Linked DNA regions of Nothobranchius furzeri. The protein of the gene in region 2 purifies or fractionates together with the protein of the main gene of each other region. This does not show direct contact. Links are inferred from orthologs where the notes say so. Each region holds a gene or a part of one and is shown on either strand. Other genes may lie near its edges. The genes, in order: apex2, cullin-9 and glmna.

Evidence for each region.
Region 1: the proteins of cullin-9 (region 2) and apex2 purify together in Homo sapiens (affinity purification with mass spectrometry; 3 studies listed by BioGRID and IntAct, counting the BioPlex papers as one, with this or other methods). This does not show direct contact. The link is inferred for Nothobranchius furzeri from reciprocal best matches to the Homo sapiens genes CUL9 and APEX2.
Region 3: the proteins of cullin-9 (region 2) and glmna purify together in Homo sapiens (affinity purification with mass spectrometry; 3 studies listed by BioGRID and IntAct, counting the BioPlex papers as one, with this or other methods). This does not show direct contact. The link is inferred for Nothobranchius furzeri from reciprocal best matches to the Homo sapiens genes CUL9 and GLMN.

The regions. Positions count from the first base shown.
Region 1 is NC_091755.1:42,303,830-42,308,046, reverse strand, and holds the start of apex2 (DNA-(apurinic or apyrimidinic site) endonuclease 2), read left to right. Parts: upstream 1-1,293; 5' UTR 1,294-1,389; coding exon 1,390-1,504; intron 1,505-1,591; coding exon 1,592-1,675; intron 1,676-1,977; coding exon 1,978-2,158; intron 2,159-2,312; coding exon 2,313-2,456; intron 2,457-2,754; coding exon 2,755-2,824; intron 2,825-4,217. UniProt on the Homo sapiens protein: Functions as a weak apurinic/apyrimidinic (AP) endodeoxyribonuclease in the DNA base excision repair (BER) pathway of DNA lesions induced by oxidative and alkylating agents.
Region 2 is NC_091752.1:62,763,668-62,767,314, reverse strand, and holds part of cullin-9, read right to left. Parts: intron 2,656-3,647; coding exon 1,960-2,655; intron 1-1,959. UniProt on the Homo sapiens protein: Core component of a Cul9-RING ubiquitin-protein ligase complex composed of CUL9 and RBX1. The CUL9-RBX1 complex mediates ubiquitination and subsequent degradation of BIRC5 and is required to maintain microtubule dynamics and genome integrity.
Region 3 is NC_091751.1:71,619,538-71,623,797, forward strand, and holds the start of glmna (glomulin, FKBP associated protein a), read right to left. Parts: upstream 2,930-4,260; 5' UTR 2,897-2,929; coding exon of another isoform or gene 2,839-2,896; 5' UTR 2,799-2,838; exon of another isoform or gene 2,764-2,798; intron 2,689-2,763; 5' UTR 2,569-2,688; coding exon 2,530-2,568; intron 975-2,529; coding exon 849-974; intron 773-848; coding exon 659-772; intron 237-658; coding exon 128-236; intron 45-127; coding exon 1-44. Other genes in the region: putative RNA polymerase II subunit B1 CTD phosphatase rpap2, read left to right, coding at 2,839-2,896.

The DNA.
Region 1 (4,217 bases), on a different chromosome or scaffold from region 2:
GCCTCGTGATTTCCATCTTGAGAGGCGACATATAAAAAAGTGTTTCTTTCCTTTTTTAGATTCTGTTTAATCATAGTGGCATTAAACTGGTCAAACTGGACTCAAAACTGGGATTAACTGTGACATAAAATTGCTTCAGCCTAAGCTCAGAACAGCCAACAGCTATCTTACAAACCAGTGTAACCCAGCTATCTACCCGGCAGTCGTGTGTGTGTCATATTACAGAGCTGACTCTGCTTTTGTTATCAGGTAAAACAAACGTTTTGGTTCCACGGTGACGCTTCGTACCTTTTAAAGATCATCAAGGACGAGTCCCCGGCTCTCAAAGCTGTCAAAAATCGAGACAGTGGTCAACCATCGGCTACACCAGGGTCTCCAGAACCAGCGCAGACCCGGAGGTCAGCAACACGACAGCTGGCTTGGCCAAAAGCACAGGGTGTAGTCAATTGTCCCCCATTTTGGTGTGGTGTCCTCTCATGTTCTGAATCTGTCCTGTGTGTGTGCCAGGAGACATGTGGCTAAACTAAGACATCCAGACAGTATCCCACCACCACGTTTAACATAATTAGATCAGCTAACAGACTCCAGCTCAGAGAGGGAAGAAGAGCTGCTGGAGAGATGAGAAGTCGTCTGACAGGGATGCTAAAGCCAAGACGACACCGGACACAGAAACGGGACACTATCGGACAGCTAGCATCAGTAGCGTAGCTTAACGTGGATGAAAGTAGTAAATAAAATCTAACATATCATCTCAAAACAAATAGAAATATCTAACAAATCGACTGCTGCTGGTACGTTATCGACCAAACAAACGCCACTCACGCGCCCATCTTTAGAATCCTATCAGACAAGCTAATTAGCTCAACAGTCAGCCATCACGAGCCCATACGCACTTACCCCGAGCCTTCTGACCTAAAATGAAGCTATTCGGCCGGCCGCCGCAAAGAGGAAACTCCTCACCGCCTCCAGGAGCTGCAAATGACAGCGGGCTCCTAAGCAGTTAGGACTGGTGCGAGGCCAGTTTGGCGTATAGTGGTAGCCGCTCCCCTTCCTCACACCCACCTGCTTCACTGAACTCGCGCAGGGTCGCGTGTCGCGCGCCGAAAACGTGAATGCCCAACTACCCCCTCTAGCTTAGCAGCGAGGCAACGCAGCTACACTAAAACACTGTTTATTATCTGTATTTCTGTAATAAAGCCTTAGATAATCGTACAAGCATACATTTATAAAGCGTTATGCTAGAAATGCTCTGAATTAGTTACTTAATAATTATGAGATTGCTACAAACAATCTTTTCCGGTTGTATGTTGCGTCACGTCCGGGGTACTTGAACGTTGCATTTGGCGTTTTTGTGCGGCTTTCAGGTGTACTTGGGTTTCAACCTGCATAATGAAGATCGTTACGTGGAACATAAACGGCATCAGGACGTTTAAAGGCGGCATAAAGAAGACTCTTGATTCTCTGGACGCCGATATCATCTGTGTTCAGGAGACAAAAGTAACGAGTAAGAGTTGGAAAACAGGAAAGCTGTCCCGATGTGCTCCTGCTGCTGTTTATTAAAACACACTGAACCTGTATATGTGTTTCTCAGGAGACCTACTGGATGAAAAAACCGCCATTGTTGAAGGATACAACTCCTTCTTCAGCTTTAGTCGAGGACGCAGCGGCTATTCAGGTTAGACAGCTTTTACCCGCCAAAATAAAAGCCCCAGAGTTATTGGTAATGAATATGTATGTGGCAGTGTGAGCGTCCTGTCACAGTGTCCCGATTGATCATGCGCCCTGGCTACTTAACCAAGGGGATGTCCCTTTGGCTGACTGGTTAGAGAGTATGACTCTCACCCGGGCCCTCGCCTCTCCACCCTGCCACATGCATCACCAATCAGATGCATTGATGGACATTAAAGCCTATCTTCGTTTCTTTATTGCCCTATAATCATTACTACTCCACCATGAGCCAGGTTTTGTTTTGCACAGGTGTTGCTACTTACTGTAAGGACATTGGCACTCCTTTGGCTGCTGAGGAGGGCCTCACTGGTCTGCTGACCAATCATGAAGGTGCTGTTGGTTGCTATGGAGACCACACTGACTTTTCAAATGAAGAGCTGCAACTTTTGGACAGTGAAGGACGAGCCCTCATAACACAGCACAAAATCCTGTAAGTGAATCAGGTCAGATTGAACCCCACTGCGTTTTAATCACCGTCTTCCAAAACCATGCAGAGATATGCTCTCAGTGTATGTAATGTTTTGCTGATGTTGCAGCCTTGTATCATTATTATTATTATTATTTGTTTCTGTTTTTCCCCGCAGCTGTCAGGACAAAGAACAGACGGTTACTGTAATAAACGTGTACTGTCCACGAGCCGACCCTGAGAAGCCAGACAGGAAGCAGTTCAAGCTCCAGTTCTACAAGCTGCTTCGGTGTCGGGCTGAAGCTTTGCTAAAAGACGGGAGGTGAGGGTTTTCATAAGGTTTTAGCATTTCTGTGACAATGTGTGTTCCAGTACACTCAGCTTTATGATTATTAAACACCGATATCTGATAGAGACAGATTTATTTAGCTATTTATCTTTAAAAGTCAAACTTTGGGGTCTTTTTAACAGTTTGGGTTGTATTGTAAGACGTTTAACTAGGAGGAATAAACGGTAAAAGGTGGCTATAATGTCTGACCTTTTCTAGTATCTTCATATTTTAGGTGCTTGCTGTCCTTTAACATGTCTGACATCATCGTTTTTTCTGTCCTTTTCTCCAGCCATGTGATCATTCTAGGCGACGTGAACACATCTCATCGGCCCATTGACCACTGTGACCCAGATGATGTTGTAAGTGTGTGTTACACCAGCTGCTCCCTTAAAATTCAGTTCAGTACTATTCAATTCAATTCAATTTTATTTATAAAGCGCCAAATCACGACAAGAGTCATCTCAAAGCACTTCACATAATAAACATTCCAATTCAGGTCAGTTCATTAAGCAATCAGTAAAAAGTTTCCTATATAAGGAACCCAGCAAATTGCATCAAGTCACTGACTAGTGTCAGTGACTCTACAGCAATCCTCCAGCAGTCTAAGCCTATAGCAGCATAACTACAGAGATAACTCTGGATAACCTAGCCTTTTAGATGGAGGGATGTTGGAGGCAGGACAAGGGAGAGCCGTCTTTACCGACTGTACACTCCACCTCCCTCTACTCCCCCACTTGTCCTGATTTAGGCTAACATCAGATTTTAACCATAGGCCCTATCAAATAAAAATGTTTTAAGCCTATTCTTAAAAGTAGACAAAGTGTCTGCCTCACGGACTAAAGCTGGGAGCTGGTTCCACAGGAGAGGAGCCTGATAGCTAAAAGATCTGCCTCCCATCCTAATTTTAGATATTCTGGGAACCACCAGTAAACCTGCAGTCTGAGAGCGAGGTGCTCGGTTAGGAACGTATGGAACAATCAGATCACTGATGTATGATGGAGCTTGATTATTAAGAGCTTTATATGTGAGAAGAAGGATCTTAAAATCTATTCTGAATTTAACAGGTAGCCAATGTAGGGAAGCTAAGACAGGAGAGATATGATCTCTCTTTTTAATTCTCTTAAGTAATCCAGTCTTGATGTAATAAATGCATGAACTAGTTTTTCAGCATCACTCCTGGAAAGTATGCTTCTAATATTAGCAATATTCTGAAGGTGGAAAAAGGAAATCCTACAAACCTGATTAACCTGGGATTTGAATGGCATGTCCTGGTCCAAGATAACACCAAGGTTGCTTACTTTGTTCTCAGAGATTAATGTAATGCCATTCAGGTCAGGTGATTGGCTAAGCAATACTACATCCCAATTTAGCATGTGCTTTATAAAATGGTGACTGCAAACAGAACTGAGTGCTTTTTACGCCTGTTTGTTTCCAGAGTCTGACACTCTCTGAGAAACAATGGCTGAAAAATGTACATGTTGGCTCCATTTAGAAAAATGTTTTAATGCAGTGAAAATAAATCTGTAATAGTTTGTTGCTGCAAGTGTGCAACAAACTCATGAATACCAAACATCTTTTAACCTTGAGGAAACTAAAAAGACAACATAGTGAAAGGTAGCATAAACTCCTGCAGTGATGCACAAGTAAAACAACACGTCGCCAGTATAAACCCCTAGAATTAGCTTGTTTTTCTTTTAAAAGGTGAACTCGAAAGTAGGAAAGCGTGTCCTCTAAGCTTAGCTGTGACTCTTC
Region 2 (3,647 bases):
TGTACAAATACTCCTTCACCCTGTGATTTGTAATGCATCCAGGGAGTGCAAAGCAGCAGGTCAGCAGATTTCAACGTGCGCATGGGTACATAGGGAGTGAGCAGGTCAGAGCGATAGGGAGATGCCAGGTCGTTGAGTGCTTTAAAGACATCACGATAAGAGTCAGAAATTTTGATAACGATACATTTTTGATTTATTGCCCAGCCCTACTTACACCCAACCAACCAAAACACAGACCCAAGCATGCTCTGTCACCAAGCCCCCCCCCCCTTTCAAACCTAAACAGATAGCCATGTAGGGTTGGTCATCGAGAATCGAGCATCGATTGGAACCGGTTCCAAATGTTCATTTTTCCCAGAATCGCTCAACGTTTTTTATTTCGATTCCTAGTGTGCCGACGAAAGAGGAATCCGCGGCCGATCTCCGTGAAAAATAAACGTGATCTGCAAATTGTGATCAACGCTTTTCAGAGCTGATCACACCAGCTGTCTGTGTGCAGCACCGAGTCCCCCCTCCCACACCCGGTGCACAGCAGCCAAATATAAATGTGTCTGCCGAACTTTTACTCCGTAATGTTAACTTTTACTCCTGCAGTGTAGAGGAAACTTGCTGAAATACGTCAACACGGTGGATTTAATAGAAGCTTAAAGAACAAACTCTGGACGGTGTGAGGTGAGTTTGTCTCACTGCAGAAATAAAAACACACACGGAGCGTCAGCAGTCAGACACGTGAGCGTCAGAAGGCTGAACAATAGCCTGCAGACTAATTAAAGTCATCATGCTAGAGCAGCTTCTCTGTGGTGGACCACACCAGCTTCTGCCACAATAAATAATTATAATAATAATAATAATAATAAATCACACACAAAGCTGTGAACATTTTAATTTCCTTTCTGAACTATTTCTGTTGAGAGTTTTAATGTTTAAAATCTGTTAGATTGTTACTGACAGCAGCTACATTTAAGTTTCACTTTCTGTTCTGACTGAATGCTGCTGCAGCATGGAGGTGTAGTTCTCAGGCATCCTGGACATGATCATCCTGAGAGTGTTAGCTGAAAACAGCTGGACGTTTCTGGATATGTTGGAGACATTTAGCCTCTCATCCCAGAGGCTTCTTCCAGACTTTGGTTGTGGTCAGAAACAAACACACTGGTTGTGCTGCAAGCCTTTTTCTTTTTTCTCCAAAACATGTTTTTGTCTAAATGAAGGTGATGTTGTTGTTCATAGAGTTAAAATTCATGTTGAAGTTAAGAATATTTCATCAAGTAGGACCTGTGGTTAGGTGGCTCATGTAAAACATATCATGTCTTCAAAGAATCGGAATCGGGAATCCATAAGAACTGGAATCGAAACGAGGAATTGGAATCGGAATCGTTTAAAATCAAACGATGCCCAACCCTACAGCTATGTGACCTTAACAAGATGTTGCAGCAAAGAGTTGGAAGAAATTATCCCACAAAGGTTACAGTAGTTCACCAGTGTGGCGATATTTTCACTCTTACAAGTCTGACAAAACCAAACAATGGTTTGCAACATTTACAGAGTATCAATAAAAACCAAGTCTGGTAATGCAACCAACTTGTTTTATCAAAAGGTAACGACAAAAAATGGCCAGGGCTGCACTTAAAACTTTACTACATTTTTCATAGCATTTTCAATAATTACTGACATCGACTGATACGATTTTTTTTATCAATATGATTTTTTCCGTATCGTCCAGCCCTACTCATACCCCAGCTACGTAAGCAGGAACTAGAAAAACTGGGAACAGAACCCTAAGACTCAACAAGAGTAGTTAAAGAAACAGCTGATGTTCCACGGCATAGGGTGGTCTAACCACACAACAGGGTGGTGTGGTTTTTCTACTCAGCTGTGACACAGGTTTTTTTTTAAACATGAGTTTAAGGATTTGAGTTTTCTAGGGGACCCTGAAGGCAACAGTGCTAATTAATTTTTTACCTGCATCATGTGAGGCGAGCGCCCGCAGCATCTTGCCGGCGCTGCGTCTCGTCTGCGTCTCCTTGTTGCACAGCAACTCCATCAGCAGGTTGAGGGCACCAGTCTCCTTGAAGACACCTACAAGTGAGCCGATACTGGCATAAGCGCTCAGCACGTGGATGGTGTGCATGATGTTGATGGAGAAGTCACTCTTCTTAGCCATCTGTTTCCTGGCTCGACACACCAGGTTCATCACATCCTGCTTCATGTCCAACAGCTCTACCTCATCAAAGGTCACGTCTGTTGGAAACTCGCCTCCGCTCCTCTGGCTCCCATCTGCCACCTCGCCTTCCTGCAACTTCTCCTGCTGGAGGGGGCGCTGTGAGTCTGTTTTCCTCTTGCCAAGAAGGGTGGGGCAATTAGCATACACATCCTCCATTGACATCCACATCAAGATGTTCTCCGGTTTGGTTTCTCCAGAGGTGGAGCCACTGGATCCACCCACCCCTGAGCCGGCACTGCCCGCTCCACTCGACTCGCTTGCTCCGCCCCCAGAGACGGACCCATCTTCAATGGTAACCAGGCACCAGCGAATGAGGTACTCCGTTTGTCCGTCGTGGGTGCGGCGCTGGCGGATCAGCTCCTCGGGATATGCCTGTAGCCTGGGGCTGAGCTGGACCAGCAGGTTCCCGTTGCGGCGTTCGCCCACCATGGTTGCTATGGAGACGAGAGCAGACATCAGACATCAGGGTATATGTATAACTGAGCTAAGTATAGTTGCCAGTATCATTGTTACATATCGGCCCACATTTTCTTACGAGTGTATCTCTAGTATGAATCAACCAAAAAAAAAAACAGAAAAGCATCTGATTCTAATTCATTCAGTTTTCATTTTGGACTCAACAGACCTGTGGAGGGAAGCTGCCTCCCTAGGCCAGGGGTATTTAACTTTGGTCCTGGAGGGCCAGCACGTTTTAGTGGTTTCTCTGCTCCAACACGCTTGACTGAGTGGTTGAATAACCTGCAGCAGCTCATCAGGCTTTGCAGAAGCCTGTTAATCACCTGCTGATTGAGATCTGGGGTCTCATTTATCAAACATTGCGTAGAATCTTTTCCAAAACCGTACTTAAGCTCAGCAAAAAAAATGTACTTACGCCAAGTAGGATTGTGATCTATCAAACATGGAGTACGCACAACTGCGTGCAATCTCCGCTTCATAAATCGGAGACTAACGAGAATGTTTCTCAGCTGCATTTTAGTCACGTCCCGCCCTCACCACGCCCACTTACTGCCATAAATAGTCAATGCAAAGTGCCTTGTGGATCTCATGCATATACATAAGCCGGTTGTTGCAGCACTCCGCCAATGACATGGTGACTGTAGATCAAGGCAAATCAAGGAAGCGCTATTTCACAGAAGCAGGAATTGAGGTACCTGTGGGTGAGGTGGAGAAATGAAAGGAAGTACTTTTGCAAATCAAATAAGAGAAAATCCACCAAGTGGCACAGTGTTGCTGAAGCCGTCAATGTTGTGAATTCTTCAGAGAGATCTGTGGCGGATATAAAAAAATGGTCCAATCGGGATTCGATCCCCAGACTCTCGGGCGAAAGTCATGCGCACTTACCAGTCACCCAAACAGAGATTTCCCCTGTACAACTAGCCAGGGCGCATGATCAATTGGGTCACAGTGACAGGACACTGTCACAGAC
Region 3 (4,260 bases), on a different chromosome or scaffold from region 2:
CATACCCAAGGACGAGGCCTTTCGGCTGCCCAGGGACAGCAGCACTGATGGGACAGAGGAGGTCAAACGGCTGGATGAAGAGGAGCGTCACAGAACTTTTATCAGAGTCGGCAAAACCAATCAGAACCTTTCTGTAACGGGCCGAGCAGGAGATGGAGACGGTTGGCTATGTCGTCAGGATCATCGTGTTCCAGCTGCTCCAGCAGACCAATCAGAAGCTCTTTGGGCCGGCAGGTCTAAGAGGACACACGTCAGAGGTCATGACGCCCACGGGGGTGGCAGCAGAGCGACATCGGAGAAGCTACAACACCCCGCTCTGACCAACACGCTGCTTCTCAACACCGTGTTGAGCAGAGTTTGGTTCATCTGAAGACCGTCTCCATCAGCAGGGAAGAAGGCTCAGAGAAGCACAAACATGGATCATGACATCATCACGCTGAACCCACCCACCGCTGCTTACCCACGTAAGGGCTGTTGGTTTGGCCCCGCCCCCTTCTACACACCTCCAGATTGGTTGAATGAATGACCTTTTTAACTTTCTACACGTTGATCCTCGACCTTCACCACAGCTTTCCTCATCTTCGTCCTCCCCGCCATCTCTAATTTGCCATCCCATCCTTTTCCCGCAGCAACATCACAGCCGAGCAGATCCACAGACCTCCATCAGGTGGTTGAACATGGCCAGACACTGAGGAAGGTTCTTGTCTTCTTTCTTCAGCAGCACCTGAATCAGTGGAGGCAGCAGGTTCCAGCCCAAACTCCTGATCAGGTTCTGCACAGAGGGTGATGAAGCCGGGTCATCATCAGCACACCCAACCAAGGACTGGCACCATCTCACAGAAATCTACCTGATTCTTCTCATCCAGCACGATGCTGAGGACCTGTGGACTATGGCCCTCCTCGATGCAGGTCCGTCCAGCCGTGGTGAAGACGTCGTGCTCCTCCGAGCTGTAGCCGTCACCCGGGAGTGCCTGCTGTGTGTAACACACACAGATAAGAGGGAATAAGGGGCTGCTGGGGTTCGGAGAGGAAAGACAAGTGTCGGATTTATTTAACCAGATGAGTCGACGGAGAACTCATTCTCACTTACGCCGACGACCTGGCCCAGAGGCGGCGGCAGGTGAGAGAAAACGGTTAGAATGGTAAACGGTTTGTGTTTGTATGGCATCTTCTTGGGTTCTACAGCCCCCCAAGGCTCTTTACAACACAATCAGTCGTTCACACGCTGGTGGGGATGAGCTACGATGTAGCCACAGCTGCTCTGGGGCGCTCTGACAGAGACGAGGCCAGATGAACGCTGGCGTCGCTGGTCCCTCCGACCACCAGCAGCAGGTAGGGCGGGCTAAGTGTCTTGCCCAAGGCCACAACAGCAGCATTCTCTGGTCGGAGCCGGGATCGAACCTGCAACCTTCTGATTACTGGACAACCTGCTGGGCTGCTGCAGTCCCGGTTAGAAGGCTGTATCTGATCACATTCTGCCCACCATGTCAGACTTCACTGCTTTCTATGAACAACAAACATGTTAGCAACATGCTACATCTACTGCTAAGTAAAGTCATGCTGCCCGCCCGGTGACCTTTTGATTCGGAATGTTCTTCCTTAAAGAAGGGTTTGATCTGAGGGCCAAGGCGCCAACCCTAACCCGACGGAACAAAGCAAAACACACGTGGGCCAGAACATAGAACTCACAGGATCTGAAAACCTCAGCAAAGGTAACCTTCTGGTGCTCTGGTCCATGACCTCCAGCATGCACCTGAGCGCTTCGGCGCTGAGTGACGCAGAGAAAAAGGGAGGGCCGTCTTTGTCTGAGGTGGAGGAGCTCAAACCACCTGTGTCTTGTTCCTGAGTGATGGTAGCACGCTGGAGACTGGAGTAGAACCAGCAACGCTACAGATCTCCCTCATCTCGCCCGATTCGGGTGTCGTCGCTTGGTTGCTGTTGTTTGGTAACTTGTATCTCAGATTTTGGTTTGTGTCACTGAACGCTGCACTGGGGCTCCCTGGGCCATTTAGCACAGCGATACTAAAGCTGCACATAGCCATGACTGAGAGCATCCTATCACCCAGCATGACGGTGTGGTATGGCAGCTGCATCGTCCAGAACAAAAAAGACCTGGCCAGGGTGGTGAAAACTGCTCAGTGGATCGTGGGGGGCCCACTACCAGATCTGGACTCTGGAGTATATACCATCCGACTACAAAGGAAGGCTAACCGTATCGCTGCTGATCCCTTCCATCCAGGTCACAAACTGTTGATGCCGCCACCATCGAGGAAGCGGTACAGGAATATCAAGGCCACAACCACCAGGCTGAGGAACAGCTTCTTCCCTAGAGCTGTTAAAGCCACGTGGTGGTGGTGAGGGACAATCTGAACATCAGTGGACAGGTAGGTGGACACACCAGACTCCACTGCCCTGCGTAGCTCGCGCCACTAAGTCACGAGTCAGATGGGTGGAGGGACAGAAACAGCCTCTGGGGCTTTGAGACGCCGGTGTGCAGCAGGAGGGATGACAGGACAACATGAGACTCACACATCTCTGGACCACATCACTGAGCTGCTCCAGAGCCATCGCTGCTGTCCTCGGATCAGCCGGAAACAGAGAGGCACTTCCGTTTGAAACAAGCTAGGTCCGCGCGAGGCCACCGCGAGCCGGAGCTTCAGTCGGAGACGCGAACAGAGCGGGAAGCTTCTGGAATCACAGCAGATAAAAACATCACACAAACCTTTCCTTCATGACCCAAACAAACCACATTTACATCTCCGATGCAGCGCGCCTTCCGGTTTGACCCCCTCAGCTACCGTAGAAACGTCACAGGTCAAAGGTGAACACAGAAGAAACATGGAGCTGGTGGAGAGCAGGAGGAGGAGAGGAGGCTCCACTAAAACCTCCAGGAAAGGTTGGTTTTTAATCCCAATCCAGAGTTTACCGGAAACAGGACAACGTTTTCACCCTCGTTACGTCCGTTCCGTGTTGATTTTCCGGTCCGGTTCGACCCAGCAGTGGAGCTTGTTCCCGTTCCGCTTTCAGCGGGAAGGTGGAACAGACTCGTTCTCTGTAGAAAAGAACCGAAACAAACCTGTCGCGGATCAGAGCTGCTCCTTCTGTAGTTCATCACCAGGTCCTTCTATAGTTCATCACCAGGTCCTTCTGTAGTTCATCACCCGGTCCTTCTGTAGTTCATCACCCGGTCCTTCTGTAGTTCATCACCCGGTCCTTCTGTAGTTCATCACCAGGTCCTTCTGTAGTTCATCACCAGGTCCAGGTCCTTCTGTAGTTCATCACCACGTCCAGGTCCTTCTGTAGTTCATCACCAGGTCCAGGTCCTTCTGTAGTTCATCACCAGGTCCAGGTCCTTCAGTAGTTCATCACCAGGTCCTTCTGTAGTTCATCACCAGGTCCTTCTGTAGTTCATCACCTGGTCCTTCTGTAGTTCATCACCTGGTCCTTCTGTAGTTCATCACCAGGTCCTTCTGTAGTTCATCACCCGGTCCTTCTGTAGTTCATCACCAGGTCCTTCTGTAGTTCATCACCAGGTCCTTCTGTAGTTCATCACCAGGTCCAGGTCCTTCTGTAGTTCATCACCAGGTCCTTCTGTAGTTCATCACCAGGTCCTTCTGTAGTTCATCACCAGGTCCTTCTGTAGTTCATCACCAGGTCCTTCTGTAGTTCATCACCAGGTCCAGGTCCTTCTGTAGTTCATCACCAGGTCCTTCTGTAGTTCATCACCAGGTCCTTCTGTAGTTCATCACCCGGTCCTTCTGTAGTTCATCACCCGGTCCTTCTGTAGTTCATCACCAGGTCCTTCTGTAGTTCCTCACCCAGTTCTTCTGTAGTTCATCACCAGGTCCAGGTCCTTCTGTAGTTCATCACCAGGTCCAGGTCCTTCTGTAGTTCATCACCAGGTCCTTCTGTAGTTCATCACCAGGTCCTTCTGTAGTTCATCACCTGGTCCTTCTGTAGTTCATCACCTGGTCCTTCTGTAGTTCATCACCAGGTCCTTCTGTAGTTCATCACCCGGTCCTTCTGTAGTTCATCACCAGGTCCTTCTGTAGTTCATCACCAGGTCCTTCTGTAGTTCATCACCAGGTCCAGGTCCTTCTGTAGTTCATCACCAGGTCCTTCTGTAGTTCATCACCAGGTCCTTTTGTAGTTCATCACCTGGTCCTTCTGTAGTTCATCACCAGGTCCTTCTGTAGTTCATCACCCGGTCCTTCTGTAGTTCATCACCAGGTCCTTCTGTAGTTCATCACCAGGTCCAGG